2 linked regions of the Arabidopsis thaliana genome follow. The protein of the gene in region 1 interacts with the protein of each later gene in a pairwise test. Each region holds a gene or a part of one and is shown in the gene's direction. Other genes may lie near its edges. The genes, in order: ATCSLC08 and AT3G05640.

Region 1 (5,729 bases):
CTCGCAGGTGGAAAAGGTTGAACTAGAAGATGTCCTTTCTCAACGAGCATACATGCTCCTCTACAGCAGGTAGAGCCTTTCATTTTTCTTGACAAGAAGAATATATATCCTATTGCAGAGTTTGTGAATTTTCTAGGACTGTATTAAGCGAAGGAGCTTTAACAGATTACGATATCTGGTATTGGTGCAGGGTTCAGCCCAGACCATCAAATCTTAGATCCGAAGAAAGTCAAGATGAGAAGAAAACAGATACATTGAACACAGAATCTAACCAAGATGGCTCTGTTGAGAGTTCCGGGGTGGGAACAAATGACACAAGTGTGTCCTCGCTGTGTAACGGCATCATCTCACATTCAGAAGACCCTGAATACGAAAAAGAATCATCATTGTCAGCATCCGTACCAGTCTCTGAAGAAGGAAAGGAAGTTGACGTAAAGGTTGATACAGTAGATTCTGAATCAAACCGTTCTATTGACATGGAACATGATTCTGGAACAGATCATCAAGAAGAAGAAGCAAATGGGAAAGAAGATCCAACGGTTGAAAATCTGGCTGTTGATTCTTCTTGTTTGGACATTACTACTCCATCTCCATCTGCTGCTACAGAGTTCATACCTCAGGAGAACGAACGTTCAGACACCGAGTCCAAACCTCTGGAGAAAGAACATTCAGACACCGAGTCCAACAAACCGCTGGAGAAAGAACATTTAGACAGCGAGTCCAAACCCCTGGAGAAAGAACATTCAGACACCGAGATGATCGATGCTCAATGATTCTAAAGGGATGGTGGTGGAATCACAAACATTTTTCATGGCTCTTGAAAATCAACAAGGGCGCTTCTAACTTAACAATAATGCTGCAAAAAAATTGCTTTAGACACTGCAATTTCTGGTGTCTGAAGGATATATAGAATTTGTTGGATCCTGGAGTTTTCCATATCTAGAAGAAATTTTTAGGGTTCGTACTGGTGAGAACTATAGAGCTTACAAAGCCAGGATTGGTACTTTATTAGTCATATGAGATAGAAACTTCAGGATCGGTTAAGTTATTCTTTTGATTTTTATTTCTCTGTTAAAATACAATTGAACCCAAAAGCTCTCATAGCTTGAAAGACTAATGGAGGACCACATTGTCAACTTTGTGGTTGATTCAAGTTATTTTGTTTGTTTGTTCGGCTAGTTTTATATAGTACTTAATGTGGGAAAATGTGCATAACGAGCCGAACAAGTTAAGAACAAATGAAAAAAATGTTGAAAGAGAATTTAAACTTTTACGGTAACCTCAACTTTGAAGTCATTTTTAATCACTTTCAATCACAAAAGCATATTTTCCAAATAGAACTATCATTGTCGATGATAACTTGGTAATACCAATACTAATTCAATCTTATAACTATTAAGACTTTGAATAGTAGAAACAAAATAAACGCGGCAAAACATGCATAATGAGCGAAACGGTAAGGTTATATCGTCTCTTAACTAAATCTTTCAATCATCAATCTGAATGACGAAAAAAATATGTTTTCCAAGTAGAATGATCATGGTCGATAATACACATATTTGTTTGTTATCTCTTTATGTGATTTGGGGCCTTTTGCCCATTTGATGAAGAGTTAAGTTTGTGAATATGTGTGTTTATCAGCTACATAAAATGTAAACAGAGATTAAATGCAATTGCCTATAACTAGATTTTTTTTTTCCATAATTGCAAAATCTTCTTATAAGTTCAAGTAAAATTGCTTTTAAAGCTTGTACCCTTTTTAGATTACTAGCCCATTATAATCAGCTAGTCACTACCATTTTGAATTTTTCTATCCATTGATTTCTTTTCCTCTTTACTAGCCTTTCTCTAAAAGTTGTTTTTCAAAAAAGCTACTCTATGAGAAAGATTCATGAAATGTTAAGCTTTCTTTTTGGAAAAAAGAGATGAATTTGGATGTTGAAGCCATCATTGAGGGTTAGCTGAAGAGGAAACATTCACATGAAAGTGTAAGGGATCTTACAACTTCTTTGATTCTTTTCTTCCTCTTCTCTCTCTCTTTTATCTCTACCATTGCCAAGTATCAATCTTTTCTCTCTCTCACTTGCCCAAACCACTCATTGTCTGTACTCTCTCTCGCAGGTCACTATTAATGACCCCTTTGAGCTGTTGCTGCTTCTCTGTCTGTTGTTTAAAAGTGGGTCTTTAGATATCCTAGTTCTTGGATCTGGGTTGTTCAAATTTCTTACAAAGTCTTGGTCTTTAACCTGAAGTCTGAAGATTTACTCACTCAAAGTCGCTACCTTTAGGTTTCTCAAGATGGGTTTAGCTTAAATCTTCCAACTTTGAGATTTGGGTCTTAAACTCTAATCAAGAGATTCAACTACTTCTTCTTCCAGATTTGGGTCTTGAGCTTTGAAATATGGCTCCAAGGTTTGATTTTTCAGATTTATGGGCCAAGGAAACAAGGAGAGGTACACCAGTAGTGGTGAAAATGGAGAATCCAAATTACTCAATAGTTGAAGTAGAGGAACCAGACTCTGCATTTCAACCAATGGAGAAGAGTAGAGGCAAGAACGCTAAGCAAGTGACTTGGGTTTTGCTTCTTAAAGCTCACAAAGCTGTTGGATGTCTCACTTGGGTCGCTACAGTGTTCTGGTCTCTTCTTGGTTCAGTCAAGAGACGGCTCAGTTTCACTCATCCACTAGGCTCTGAGAGACTTGGTAGAGACGGATGGCTTTTCTCAGCTATTAAGCTCTTCTTAGTTGCTTCATTAGCTATTCTTGCGTTTGAGTTAGTTGCTTATTACAGAGGATGGCATTACTTTAAAAACCCTAATTTACACATTCCTACAAGCAAACTTGAGATCCAGAGCTTGCTTCATCTGTTCTATGTCGGTTGGTTGAGTTTAAGAGCTGATTATATTGCTCCTCCAATCAAAGCTCTCTCAAAGTTTTGTATTGTACTGTTCCTTGTACAGTCTGTAGATCGTTTGATTCTTTGCTTAGGCTGTCTTTGGATCAAGTTTAAGAAGATTAAGCCGAGAATCGATGAAGAGCATTTTCGAAATGATGATTTTGAAGGATCAGGGTCTGAGTATCCAATGGTTCTTGTTCAGATACCAATGTGCAATGAGAGAGAGGTATGGTTAAACAAAGTATCAATCCTTTTACATGGTTATGTGCTTCATTGTTGAATTAGATTAATGAAGTTACATAAATGTCTAATCCTTGTTTAGGTATATGAGCAATCTATATCTGCTGTGTGTCAGCTTGACTGGCCAAAAGATCGACTGCTAGTTCAGGTTCTAGACGATTCAGATGATGAAAGCATCCAGGAGTTAATTAGAGATGAGGTTACTAAATGGAGCCAAAAGGGTGTCAACATTATTTACCGGCATCGTTTGGTTAGAACTGGTTACAAAGCTGGTAACCTCAAATCTGCAATGAGCTGTGATTATGTGGAAGCTTACGAGTTTGTTGCAATTTTCGATGCGGATTTCCAACCTAACTCGGATTTCCTTAAACTAACCGTGCCACATTTCAAGGTATGTAGATAGGTGGATTAGTAATTCTGTTTGGTTGTGTCATGAGAGTATGAGACAACCATTTTTGGTGAAGCATCTAACTTGTAAATGCCAATGTTATTTCAGGAGAAGCCTGAGTTAGGTCTGGTTCAGGCTAGGTGGGCGTTTGTGAACAAAGACGAGAACTTGTTGACCCGTCTTCAAAACATCAATCTGTGTTTTCATTTCGAGGTTGAGCAGCAGGTTAATGGGGTGTTCTTGAATTTCTTTGGTTTCAATGGAACTGCTGGAGTATGGAGAATTAAAGCCCTTGAGGAATCTGGAGGTTGGCTTGAAAGGACAACCGTCGAGGATATGGATATAGCTGTTCGGGCTCATCTTCATGGATGGAAATTCATATATCTTAACGATGTCAAGGTACGATTATATCGCGTGTTCTTGTCCAGTTTCATGAAGAGCCCTTAGTAAATTTGACTGAAGTAGAAACAATCTTTAGGTTCTTTGTGAAGTTCCTGAGTCATATGAAGCATACAAGAAGCAGCAACATCGATGGCACTCGGGACCAATGCAGCTATTTCGCTTGTGTCTGCGATCAATCTTGACCTCTAAGGTATATAAGAGCTATGGTTTTGCAATCATTTGATCATTCCAATGATTTTAATGGCTCTTTTGGTTTTCCCGTAGATTGCAATGTGGAAGAAAGCAAATCTGATACTACTATTCTTCCTTCTAAGGAAACTCATACTTCCTTTCTACTCCTTCACATTGTTCTGTGTAATCCTTCCAATCACCATGTTCGTTCCAGAAGCCGAGCTTCCTATTTGGGTCATCTGCTATGTACCGATATTCATGTCACTACTCAACATTCTTCCTGCTCCAAAGTCTTTCCCTTTCATTGTCCCTTACCTATTGTTTGAGAACACTATGTCGGTCACCAAGTTCAACGCGATGGTATCTGGATTATTCCAACTCGGTAGCTCTTACGAATGGATTGTAACAAAGAAAGCAGGAAGATCATCAGAGTCTGATCTTTTAGCTCTCACTGATAAAGAATCCGAGAAGATGCCAAACCAAATCCTAAGAGGAGTTTCAGACAGTGAGCTCTTGGAGATAAGCCAAGTTGAGGAACAGAAAAAACAACCGGTTTCCGTGAAGAAAACCAATAAGATATTCCACAAAGAGCTCGCGCTAGCTTTTCTTTTGCTCACTGCAGCAGTTAGGAGTCTTTTGGCCTCACAAGGAGTACATTTCTACTTCCTATTGTTCCAAGGTCTCACCTTTCTTCTTGTGGGTCTCGATCTCATAGGGGAGCAGATGAGTTAAGAAACCAAAGTAGAAGAAGAAGAAGAAGAAGGAGAAGAAGATAATGATGATTCAAGATTCAGTTAGCTCTGTGAGTTGACATCACCTATTACCGTTTGTTGTAGCCATAGTTTGTAGGCATTTATTGATTTTAGTTTTGATTGGTATCTTCTCTCCATTGTGATTATTCATTGGTAGGTTAGAGTTTAAGCCACACTTTATAACTATATACTAGATAAGGACCCGTCCGATGGAGGGGTTTATTTTCTTATAACTAAAATCAAATTTAGCAAAAATAATAATTAACAATGTTGTAAGTATTTTTGCAAAAAAAAAGAAAACAATGTTGTAAGTATAAATTATCTTTCAAAACTAAAAACAAATATATTTATTTTTATTGTTGTATTGTTTACTTCACCACTATAATTATTGATTAAAAAAATATTTGAATGAAAAATATATAATATAACAATAACTCAAATTATTTGAATGAAAATACATCACATAGCAATAACTTTTGGTATACTTATACAAAAACTAAAATTATAAAATATTCATAATAAAGTTGGTAAATCAAACCAAAATGGTATTAAATTAGGCACATTAAAAATATAAAGATGATAAAATTCCTTTAAATCATGACATATGATAAAATCTTTGATTGATAACTATTCATGATAAACGAAAAATATATCCTATTAATTATATAATAAGATATGTTTCCATAATAATATTTTTTTCTATCACCACCTCTATAACCATCAACAATCACCATCTTCACCAGCATAACAATCACATGTTACTCCTACATTTTATGTCACCTTGTTGGATATCTCTCTTAGGTAGTTAATATTTTAGTATTGATTTTTTATTTTTGGATTTCGTGTAACTAATATTTATTTCACTTTTTCTCTAAATTACA
Region 2 (5,470 bases), on another chromosome or scaffold:
CATCACGTCCGGTTAGTTGGCAACTTTCATGTTTATAGTATAATGGGCCTCCTTGGCCCAATATTCTCGAAACATTGGACTATTGGAGTTTCTCGTCATCCTCAAAGCAAGTTATTGGGAGGTGACTCAAAATCACGTTCTTGAAAAATTTTCCGAGTTAAAAAGTTAAACCTTTATTTAATTCTCCAATTTGATTTTCGTTTATATTTCTGGCTTTCGTCCTAATGAATATACACTAGATCTCACTTGTTTTTCTTCATGTACGTAATCATTTTTGGGGGTGGCACGACTAATCATTGCTTGAGTTGATCTTGATCCAAATCTTAGGAAGATAATGCGCAATTAATTGAATTTTCAACCAAAAAATGGACAAAAAGACTATCGCCTTGTAATGATTGCAATTATGATGCTTCTAGTCTTCTAGATACTGTATCAAGTATCAACTGGATAATAAACTATTTATCATTTTCTTACAACTAACAACCAATTAAAAGCCACTCAACATACTAACATTTCCATAGTCCACTCCAATGATTATTGATTATTATGATTAAGATCAGATGATGTTCTCTATGGATTAAAAAAAAAAAACTAGCAATAAAATAACAAGAAAAATGGTCATGTTGGGACTGGGTGGGAGTGGAACGAGAGGCCACGGCACACAAAGTCACAAAGAAAGTGTCATTATCCGGTGCACCGTCCCACATGCGATTGCTGGTAACCACGCGTCAATCAGACGAATGGCATGATCCTTTTTTAGATTGTGCTCGCTAACATGGACCCTACAAGGACCGAACTAATCAATGTGGTTCTCACGTGCCTCTTTTGCCAATTTTAACTTTTCTAACGAAAAAAATATTACTCTGAAACCTCCACATTCAATTGTGATATGACCGGCGTCTGGCCCTCAAACCGAAAGGCTCTCCTCTGAATCCTTTGTTGCTCTGTCCCACGTGCCAGAAATATCATCTTAAATATGGTGGTCTTTCGCAACCCTGAATGGCATTTGTGGTAATTAGTTCTAAATTACGTGAGACAATGCAAAGATTTTGTTTTGCACCATCGTTGCCGACCACATCAAACAGGTCATCGCTCTGGGTCCACTCACCGCTAGTCCGCTATACACTTGTGGGAAAAGGCTTCTTGTAGTACAGTTTCGTCACGGCGTCTTATTAATTGCAAATCTGTGACGTTACGGTTTTCGATTCGGGTTACTATTTTAATGGAAATCTTTTGATAATAGCTAGAGCCTAGAGTATGTAACCCTAAGGTTAGATGGTAATACCGAATCTACCTAAATTTTTGTTATTTTCGGTTTTTCATGAGATATATAGACTGCGTAATTTAAAATCTCAAAATTTGGTTTCACTTTATTTTTATTTTTTTTTAGTTTCGAGGTAGGTATACAAGCATGGACCTTTTGACATTATTTAAAATTTTCATAATTTAGAATCTTCATGTTAAACGTGTATGGCTACGATCTTCGGAACTTTATTCGGTTTGTATGCTCAAAGGCCAACGCCATTTATTTTCTAATTGATTTTTTCCCGTTACGGAAACAATCTTTTTGCATTATTGAACTTAATTACCAAAGTTTATGAAAAGAAACAATAAAGTCTAAATTGGCCTATTTTGATATACTGATCACTTACGCGAAAACATCTACATTGTTATCTACTAGACTAGTCATTAACTCGAAGATAGAATTTCATTTCTTGACCAAAAAAAAACTCAAAAGATAGTTATAATCACAGATTCATTATTGACTTTTGCTTTTAACACTGTAGCCATTTATGTACTATTTATACAAATACCTAACTTTTCAAATTTGTGATATTTTTCACCCTACATTTTAGCCTATAGGTTGGATCATTTTGTCATATTGCATCACTGTTTACTAGTACCAAACTTAAATATCACACGAGCAGTAAATTTGCTATCAATTTTTTCGTTTTCACAAACATATATCTAGTTTCCCTAACCAATAATTAAGTTAAATTGCATTAGGAATTTAGGATTTATAATAAATAGATATATAACCCACTAACGACAAAAGACTATGTCTTGCTACGTCTCTGCCTTTATTATCATGCCACAAGAAAATAAGAGGGGAACAGAGGGAGAACCCCATAAATAAATAAATTTAGAGAAATATCTAAGTTTGGTTCTTCCCTGTGTCTACCCACCGTGATCATCATAAAATGGATTGTGATTTCTGATTTGTGAGTCTATCTTTCTCTACTCCATTAGCTTCCTCTCCCTTGGATGGTTACGTCACTTTCTCCGAGCTTACGTCATCTATATCCGGTCTTCACTTCTTTTTCCTTCCATTCCTCAGCAGCATTGCGTAATCTATCTGGTGTGTGTGTATCACGTCACTTCCTCCTAGTCCCTCTCTCTGTACGTTCTTGTTGTGAAATTGATTTACTTTTTGAAAACATTTTTGGTGCAATTCAACAATATTTGTTTCACAGTTCTTATTTTATTTTTGTAGATTAAAAAGCTTAAATTTCAAAAACAAGAAAATCTTGTTTTCACAAAAATTAGGCAAAGGGTTTCCAATTTCCAGATTGTTTAACTTGATTTTCAATTTCCAATTTCCGAATCTTGCAACTTGATTTCTATAATGATAAGTTATCTCCAAATATGTTTTCTTAAAAGAGAAAACTCGATTTGACTTCAAGTTGAGATCATATCCATTATTATTCTCTATATTACGTACAAGTTATTATATATTTTATAACTCTAGAGGAATGTTAGAGCTTGTGTTAATGGAATTCCAAGTCAGATATGAATATTCTCTTATAATCATTATTGTCCTTATAACTGTTTTAAATACCTCAAATTTATATTTTATCCCCTGTTTTTTTCCCGGGAAAACGAATCTCAAAAAACGAATTTCCTACTTTGACATTATTTTATCTCCCTCTTGCTCTTTGATATAATGCAACTATCTGAAACTCTATGAATTTATCATTTACAGAGTTCAAGATCATATGATATTTTCACTTTCTGGACAAAATGGGACATTTCTCTTCCATGTTCAACGGTATAGCTAGATCCTTCTCGATCAAGAAAGCGAAGAACATCAACAGCAGCAAAAGCTACGCTAAGGAAGCCACAGATGAAATGGCGAGAGAGGCGAAGAAGAAGGAACTTATTTTGAGATCCTCTGGTTGCATTAATGCAGATGGATCTAATAACTTGGCTTCTGTTTTCTCTAGACGCGGTGAGAAAGGCGTTAATCAGGACTGTGCCATCGTCTGGGAGGTACATTACTTCTACAAAAAGTTATCTTAGAGCTGGGTTATTTGGAACTTTTGCAGTCTTTGGCGTTTACTTAGCACAATTCGCTTCGTGTGCGTGTGCCTCTAGCTTGTTTTGGATGCTCCTCTGTATCTAGGGTTATTATCACCAGTCCAAAGATCTTAAGTTTAACGCATTATATGCTTCTACCGTTGATTTTAAGTTATCCGATATTACGGTCTTTAAACACTGATTTGCGAATATTTGTTCATCATGTTTTGACAATTTCTGAAACAGGGATATGGGTGTCAAGAAGACATGATATTCTGTGGGATATTCGATGGACATGGTCCCTGGGGACACTTTGTTTCTAAACAAGTCAGAAACTCAATGCCTATATCTTTGCTCTGTAACTGGAAAGAGACTCTTTCTCAGACCACAATAGCAGAACCCGATAAAGAGCTACAGCGGTTTGCAATCTGGAAATACTCATTCCTCAAAACCTGTGAAGCTGTTGATCTGGAGCTTGAGCATCACCGAAAGATAGATTCTTTCAACAGCGGTACGACCGCTCTAACCATTGTGAGACAGGTAAATGGAGCATCAGATTCATTACCTCATATGAAGAAAATCTTGTAAAAAGGCTACTCTGTTCATTAATCCTTAAGTGGTTTCTTGCTACAGGGTGATGTTATTTATATAGCAAACGTCGGGGATTCACGTGCGGTATTGGCCACAGTTTCAGACGAAGGAAGCTTGGTCGCGGTTCAGCTCACCGTAGATTTCAAGCCAAACCTGCCTCGTTAGTTCCATAAGCATAAATAAATCATGTAAATCTCAGTGCATTTAGCTAAGCAGTTCTGAATCTTTATCTTTCAAATTTTGTTTCTTATTAAAACAGAGGAGGAAGAGCGGATAATCGGATGCAACGGGAGAGTATTTTGCCTTCAAGATGAGCCAGGGGTCCACCGTGTATGGCAACCAGTAGATGAATCTCCGGGGCTCGCAATGTCAAGAGCATTCGGAGACTATTGTATCAAAGATTACGGATTGGTCTCAGTGCCTGAAGTCACTCAGAGGCATATATCCATTAGAGACCAGTTTATAATCTTGGCCACTGATGGGGTAAGAACATTTGAATAAGCAACTTTGTTTTGTTAGTTTATATTGGCAGCGTAGTCATGTAATTGAAACATTATAGGTATGGGATGTGATATCAAACCAAGAGGCCATAGATATTGTTTCCTCGACGGCGGAGCGGGCAAAAGCTGCCAAGCGACTGGTACAGCAAGCAGTTAGGGCTTGGAATAGAAAGAGACGCGGAATCGCCATGGATGATATCTCTGCCGTGTGCCTCTTCTTCCATTCTTCATCGTCGTCGCCATCTCTATAGCAACATCTTCTCCATGCCACGACCTGCAAGTAGGTACTAGTACTTTTGGACCGGGCAAGAAAAGAAAAAATGCTGCAATGTAGATAGACTTGCGTAAAATCGCATTGAATATTACTTTCTTGCCAAACCAGAGTCCTATCACAATCTAAAGAACACAATTGGTTACTTGTAATTTTAATAATCATTTAAAAAGTGGGAAACTTCTTAAGTTATTATGAAACATGTGATGAGGAAACAAGCTTTTGGAACAAGAATCAAACATATATCAACTCCAAAGTTGTAAGAACATATCCGCAATTGAAGATGTATTGTACAGCTTGAGGCACATAAACATTATGATTTACAAGAAGTGTATACTATACACACACATACCTCTGCGAACCTAGGAAGCAATCAAATGAATTTCTTCTTTCTATATAACTAACATCTCTATACATAAGTAACGTGTGAGCTTAGGTACTCTATTAACTGATTAAAGAGAACTGGGCGTACAATAAATAGTGGTTAGTGGAAGACTTGAGGAGCAGTGTAGAACTCAGATTCGTTGAAACCTGGTCTGAGATCTTCTTGATCACACATGAACTGTAATGGGAAGCACACAAGGTTCCCTCTTGTCTCCTTCAGAATCTCCCACGAGTCGCTGCCGCATGATTCTAGCCTCTCCGGTGCAATGCCAAGGTCGATCGTAGTGTGACCCAACTTGTCTTTACAAAGAGCCATATTGTGTCTCAATGCAGCTCTGTGTTTAGAAAGACAAAGTCAGAAGCAGATTTGATCATCTCTCAGTTGCGTTTAAAAAGCCAACGTAGTTACGTATCTTTAATCACTAAA

The links.
Region 2: the proteins of ATCSLC08 (region 1) and AT3G05640 interact in a protein complementation assay, tested with the Arabidopsis thaliana proteins (one large-scale study listed by BioGRID).

The regions. Positions count from the first base shown.
Region 1 is NC_003071.7:10,470,657-10,476,385, reverse strand, and holds ATCSLC08 (Glycosyl transferase family 2 protein), read left to right. Parts: upstream 1-1,775; 5' UTR 1,776-1,988; exon of another isoform or gene 1,989-2,121; 5' UTR 2,122-2,401; coding exon 2,402-3,121; intron 3,122-3,217; coding exon 3,218-3,526; intron 3,527-3,631; coding exon 3,632-3,922; intron 3,923-4,001; coding exon 4,002-4,115; intron 4,116-4,189; coding exon 4,190-4,828; 3' UTR 4,829-5,190; downstream 5,191-5,729. Other genes in the region: UBP19 (ubiquitin-specific protease 19), read left to right, coding at 8-69, 191-773.
Region 2 is NC_003074.8:1,639,779-1,645,248, reverse strand, and holds AT3G05640 (Protein phosphatase 2C family protein), read left to right. Parts: upstream 1-1,995; 5' UTR 1,996-2,400; intron 2,401-2,983; 5' UTR 2,984-3,021; coding exon 3,022-3,270; intron 3,271-3,543; coding exon 3,544-3,837; intron 3,838-3,930; coding exon 3,931-4,048; intron 4,049-4,147; coding exon 4,148-4,371; intron 4,372-4,447; coding exon 4,448-4,639; 3' UTR 4,640-4,899; downstream 4,900-5,470. Other genes in the region: PLDP2 (phospholipase D P2), read right to left, coding at 5,144-5,378.